Linked DNA regions of Saccharomyces cerevisiae S288C. The protein of the gene in region 1 binds, or shares a complex with, the protein of each later gene. Each region holds a gene or a part of one and is shown on either strand. Other genes may lie near its edges. A codon is read from its position in the direction of its gene.

The links.
Region 2: the proteins of MPP6 (region 1) and RRP40 are in contact, whole or in part, in a crystal structure (PDB 5OKZ), measured with the Saccharomyces cerevisiae proteins. Residues at the interface, in NP_014421.3 of Saccharomyces cerevisiae: Ile109 (codon at 886), Ser110 (codon at 883), Gly111 (codon at 880), Arg112 (codon at 877), Lys113 (codon at 874), Thr114 (codon at 871), Phe115 (codon at 868), Gly116 (codon at 865), Asp117 (codon at 862); in NP_014499.2 of Saccharomyces cerevisiae: Phe71 (codon at 1,013), Tyr120 (codon at 866), Gly146 (codon at 788), Gly148 (codon at 782), Ile149 (codon at 779), Leu150 (codon at 776), Leu167 (codon at 725), Phe168 (codon at 722), Leu175 (codon at 701), Ala179 (codon at 689), Thr182 (codon at 680), Lys183 (codon at 677), Phe184 (codon at 674), Glu185 (codon at 671), Val186 (codon at 668), Ala187 (codon at 665), Ile188 (codon at 662), Trp195 (codon at 641).

The regions. Positions count from the first base shown.
Region 1 is NC_001146.8:670,326-673,618, reverse strand, and holds MPP6 (Mpp6p), read right to left. Parts: upstream 1,211-3,293; coding exon 650-1,210; downstream 1-649. Other genes in the region: Sar family guanine nucleotide exchange factor SEC12, read left to right, coding at 1-345; SNF12 (Snf12p), read right to left, coding at 1,501-3,201. UniProt on the Saccharomyces cerevisiae protein: RNA-binding protein that associates with the RNA exosome complex. Involved in surveillance of pre-rRNAs and pre-mRNAs, and the degradation of cryptic non-coding RNAs (ncRNA) derived from intergenic regions and the ribosomal DNA spacer heterochromatin.
Region 2 is NC_001147.6:53,943-56,780, reverse strand, and holds RRP40 (exosome non-catalytic core subunit RRP40), read right to left. Parts: upstream 1,224-2,838; coding exon 501-1,223; downstream 1-500. Other genes in the region: tRNA methyltransferase PPM2, read right to left, coding at 1-329; lumazine synthase RIB4, read left to right, coding at 1,677-2,186; NOP8 (Nop8p), read right to left, coding at 2,229-2,838. UniProt on the Saccharomyces cerevisiae protein: Non-catalytic component of the RNA exosome complex which has 3'->5' exoribonuclease activity and participates in a multitude of cellular RNA processing and degradation events.

The sequences.
Region 1 (3,293 bases):
AACTTCATCCTTATTGTGCTGCTTTCTTACATTTTACAGTTCTCCTATAAGCACAATTTGCATTCCATGCTTTTCAATTACGCGAAGGACAATTTTCTAACGAAAAGAGACACCATCTCTTCGCCCTACGTAGTTGATGAAGACTTACATCAAACAACTTTGTTTGGCAACCACGGTACAAAAACATCTGTACCTAGCGTAGATTCCATAAAAGTGCATGGCGTGCATGAGACGAGTTCTGTGAATGGAACTGAAGTCTTATGTACTGAAAGTAACATTATTAATACTGGAGGGGCAGAGTTTGAGATCACCAACGCAACTTTTCGAGAAATAGATGATGCTTGAGCTTGAGAGAAAGTTATGAGGTAGCAATAATGAAGTAGCGAAAAGGAGAGTGACGACACTCAAGCTATGAAAAAAAACGCAAAGATACAAAAACGATCTCAATGATATTGATGATAGAGATTTATCTGATAAATTAGAAGTGGTGTATTTACATGTTTTTGTATATGTTTTGGAATTGAGCGTAATAGAAAGGACGGCAGTCCTTATGGTTTATGACAAATACGAAAAAAATACTACACAATGCTTTATATTATGTTCTCATTATTATATACGAATACGTACTTCTGCTGGTGCATTGTCTGCGCTACTTTTTTGAATTTCTATTTTTATTTTTACCATTATGGTTGGTCTTTTTCTTTTTGATGCTATCCTTAAATAATTTATCTAGGTCATATTCATCCTCTCCATCGTCTTGGCTCCCTGTAAATTCCTTATCCTTAGCATCCCTTTTCTCGTCTTCATTTTGTTCGCCTTCATCAAACTTTCTCTTCCTGGAACCACTATCATCAGAATTATCGCCAAAGGTTTTTCTCCCACTTATCACACCCTCAGGTTTTCGCAGTTCACTGTAACCAACGTTGGAGATTATGAGATTGGGTCGCTTCTTATATACTACTCTTTTCACCTTTTTCTTCTCCTTACCTGAAATTTTTTTTAAATCATCTTTGTAGCTATTGAGGTCCCACGCTGAGTCATCCAGACCAAAGAGTTTACCTTTCTGCTCTATAGGTTCCACATCTGAGTTGATATTAGACGGCGTATTGGAGTTGGAACTCTCTTCGTCATCCGTCTTACCAAATTTCATAAACTTCATATTCATGACTCTACTAGAGAGTTTGCCAGTGACACCATTGTTAGCACTCATTTGTTGCTTTTCCCTTGGTTCCTTATATGCTTATTGTGTTTAAGTGGCCCTCATCTCTACTACTTTTTCATATTCTGAAATTTCCAGTAGAAAATTTTCAGCGCTTTTCTTAGAAAGAGACAATGGAATCAGACAGCCGCCATTACTTGTAGGCGCTATAAACAAATCAGCATTGTCTGTTCGTCTTTAATTATTATAAATGAATGGTGACCTTTCTTTTCCTATCTAGAGTTTATATACAAAGAAAACTACATAAATCTTCAGTCTATTGTGTATCAATGTAAAGAAGCCTACATTCGTCCATTTGATAATATGACTTCTATATTCTCGCGCAACATAGCTTCATTTTCCTTGTAAAAGTTAGCCCGCCTTACCATATCTTCATTATAGCCCTCATCTCCCGATAAAACTTTCAAAGCATTCGAGGTAGAAGCAATGCATTCATTTAATGCTTTAACTGGGTCCTCACTAATTTTCTTGAAGAAACGGTATCGTTTGTTGCTCTCGTGTAGATTCGAGAGAACGGACGTTATTTCTTTGTCCTGTAAAGCTATCTTGGGTTTGATTTGTTCCAATTCCCTGGCATTTTCATTCAATTCAGCAGCCCCAATTTGACTTTCTCTTTGTGTATTATTGAATTTTAGAGCGTTGACATCAGGTACTTCAATATCAAGAACCAACTCACCATAAGTGGAAGCTTTATCAACGCGTACTGTGTAATCAATTTCAATTGGCTGTAATGGGAGCAGGTGAGTACTATTAATAAGGGACAGTAAATCCGTTAATTTCATTGTATCTGGAGAAGATTCTTTAAGACTGCTGGGTAATAAGGTAATAAGCTGAGTGTCTAATTTTACAATAGAAACTTGACTGGAGGCTGCATCAAGCATCTTACTAGTACTGGTGTTGCTATTGTGATTGTTCCTGTTGCCCATCAAATTTTCGAATGCAGACTCATCATTGGTAAGCAATTCATTTAAATGGATGTATTTATATATGGAAAATATTGCATCATGTGATGTACCGCTCTTCAATCCTATTATTGCGGTTAGTTGTGGAGAGTAGCTCATAAATGGCTCTTCTGGGGATGATTTTCGCAGGATGCTTATAGTGCATTCTACATTTTCAGACCCTACCCTCTTAATATCGAGACCATCGAAGTCTACAGGATTATTCGGGTCATACTGCCATTTCACTGATTCTAGTTTTGGAGTTGTAGAACTCATATCCTTTTTGGCAGTCTCCTCCCCCATCGTGGCATTATTTTGGTCGGTATTAGTCGTAGTAGAGTTGTCACCATTCGGCAGTGAAAATTGTAACGGTAAGTTTAAGTTCAATTTCTTATCACTGGGTCCTTCGGTGGCATTTTCTTCAGGGGCCGCATTAAATTTAGTCGATGGCACATTATCGTTTTCCTTATTTTTGAAGTCTACCACTATCGATTCTATGAATGAGCTAAATTTTTCTCTTGCTGGATCATTAGCTTGCACATTGTCCAATAATCGACCTTCGATTCTCATCGTCCAAGTGGCATTCTCCAGTGCCATAAGGTCAGCCTCATTGTTTGTGTCCATTTGCCAGGGTTGGTTTTCACTAACATTTGAAATGAAGATTCGGAGAAATTTTACATTTGGAAAATTTAAATGAGGATAAAGAAACTCTTGGGATAGCTTTGACCTCTCCCACTGCGCAACCATTCGCTTCATATGTAAGTTTCGCAGATGAATAAAATGATCTAATCTTTTCTCGGAATCCACCAGTTGTTGGAAAGAATACAGCTCAGGAATCAATTCGGCTAAATGGTCAGGGATAACCATATCTGATGGATGAGAATGTGGCACTGTTGGCGTAATTTGAGAAGCATTATTTGCTTTATCTTGGTTCACCGGATCCTTTTTCTTTGCATGAAAGAAATTTTTAGTATCAGGTGTGGCTGCTTTTGAACTCTTTCTAGAACCTTTTCCGTTGCTGGGTTTCATTACTTTGGACATGGTTCAATCCGTTAGATCTCTGTTTGACAGCTTTAGAGTTGTCTTATTTTGTTTTTGGTTTAATACATCCACGTTATTTTGTATTTTTTTTG
Region 2 (2,838 bases), on another chromosome or scaffold:
ACTATCTTTTTATCCTGTGGCGTTTGTTCAATGATGGAGTTCAATCTTGACCTGATGGCAAATAACCTCAACCAATAACCTCTGTTAATACAGGGAGATCTTTTAATTTTCTTAGGAACAAAGAATTTAAAATATTCCAACAGTTTATTATTCTTATCCATTTGGAAATTATTAGCCGAACTCAGTTTTGGCAAATACAATAACTCTACCGATCTTTTAGAAGCAATTGAGGAGTTATTTGTGCCTTGAATCGCCAAATCAGCGTACTTTTTACGTCTTTCTTGTTTGACATTCTTGTTCGTTTGCTTTATAGTGGTCAGATTCTTCATCGTATTAGATATGTGCACTATAGTTGTCGAAATTTTATGGCCATATGTTAGATGTGATGAGATGAGATGAGATGAAACTTTTTTTCCTTCGCTTTTTCAAAGGACATTAAAAAAGGACGTGAAATATTGATGATATCTATGTGTTTATATATTTTAATTATACATGGTAGTCTACTCCTCCTTGACCGTAAGTATTTCTTTAAACTGTCTTTTTGCTATATCCTTGAACGCTGCCGTGTCGTTTTTTTGACAACACTCCATTATGGTTCTATAACAAGCTAAAGTGTTAGATAATTCCTCGCACTTAACCCAGATCTTCCCATTGAGACCAATGGCGACTTCAAACTTGGTATGTGCAGCCAACACTTTTAATAACGGGAAGTCATTATTGAAAAGCAACTGGCGTGCGAAATTCAAATTCACGTCAATGATCATACCATCTTCCAATATCCCGAAACCAGCATCGCGTCCTGTAGTTGAGTCAAAACATTCTATTTCGGCTTCTAGTTCCTTTTCTGCGGTACAAACTCTCGCATACACTAGATCTCCCACTTGCAAAGTTGGCCTGTTTTTCTTTGAAGCATTGGGAAAAGCCATATACGATAGTGAAACACTGGAGGAGAAATTTTGCAACGAAACCTTATAGCTATCTGAAAATGTCCCTATAATGACACCGATTACAAAATCGTTTACAGATGGAATGTATCTCTTACTAGAATAGTCTATATATGCGGTCTGAACACCACTCTTACCCTTAGCGGAAACATGCAAAACACCTGTATTAACAGGTCGTATTTCTTGAGTATTGGGGTCACAATATATGCCAGGGCCCAGTTTAACAGGTGTAGTAGGGTCTACAGGAAAGCTATCACCAGGGAATATGAACGTAGACATCTTGTATGCTCTTGGTTAGTCGAAATGCTGGAGATGAGCTGCTGAAGCATCCGTTTGTGCTGTTGGTTTAATATGCTTCTCTAAACCAAAAAATTTCAGCCGATCAGGTCCGGGTCACACCACTACCCTTACTAGTAAACAATGATGGCTTTCATTAAGGTAACTTTAAGTGAGGTGGATGGAACTAGTTTCCACGAAACTTCATCGAAGAGGTCTGGGGTTCTATGACGTATAATTAAAACTCTGGGAGGTTTTCGGAGGTTCCCGTAGGTCAATTCTTAAGGCTCTATGACATATTCTGGGAGCGGAGATATTTTCGGAGGTCCCCGTTAATAAGAGAAAAGTAGCCATATAAAAGAGAACAATGAAATATTGCCCCAGAGAGTGGGTTCAAAAGCATGAAAAGGAACAGTATAACGCAGTATAACGCAGTATAACGCAGTATAACGCAGTATGGCAGTTAAAGGATTAGGCAAACCAGATCAAGTTTATGACGGTTCCAAAATCAGGGTCGGTATCATTCATGCCCGTTGGAACCGTGTCATTATTGACGCTCTTGTGAAAGGTGCTATTGAAAGAATGGCTTCCCTTGGTGTCGAGGAAAATAACATAATAATTGAAACTGTTCCTGGATCCTATGAATTACCTTGGGGGACAAAAAGGTTTGTTGACAGACAAGCGAAGTTGGGAAAGCCGCTAGATGTTGTAATTCCTATTGGTGTACTTATCAAAGGTAGTACAATGCACTTTGAATACATTTCAGATTCCACCACTCACGCATTGATGAACTTACAAGAAAAAGTCGACATGCCCGTCATTTTTGGCCTCTTAACTTGCATGACTGAAGAACAAGCCCTGGCCAGAGCTGGCATCGATGAAGCGCACTCCATGCACAACCATGGTGAAGATTGGGGTGCTGCAGCAGTGGAAATGGCTGTTAAGTTCGGTAAAAATGCTTTTTGAATAAGCGCAGAGAAATCTATACTATATATGTATATATACTCACTATAGAAGAAGCCCGCTCTTTGATTGTTTCCTCTTACGGTGCTTCAATGCATCTTTCATTTTGCGCCTCATATCACGGGTCCAATTACCTCTGTTAGCCCAGAACTCCTCATCCCAGTTCGATAGCATTGTTTCTCTTCCAGGAGCCCTTACTTTACTCAACTGTGTTTGTCCTACTAAAAATGGCGATTGCAAATGAGGGAAAAACAAGAAATTTTTGTTATCTTTATCTCTAGATACATGTGGTACGGGAGCCGATGTCAAACCTAGGGTGTCAGATGATTTACTTACTTCTTCCTCCAGTTGGTTCACATCAACATCTTTCGCATGATCAATATCATTATCAGAATCTTCAATCAATTTGAATTGTGATACAGGTTCTGCCTCGTTGGGGTTGAATAGGTTTCTTAACGTCTCAGTGTTGCTTATTGTACCTTGACCAATTTCCTTGGTGAAAGTCGGAATAAATTCATTATCCTCCTGCCCGTCGCCCTCGTCCTGTTCTTTCCTTTCCTCTGGTTTTTCTTGTGGTAGGGTGCTCTGGTCCTTCGTCTTATTAACATTCTCGTATTCGGGAGCGTTTACTTCTTTTTCTTCTTCTTCTTCTTCT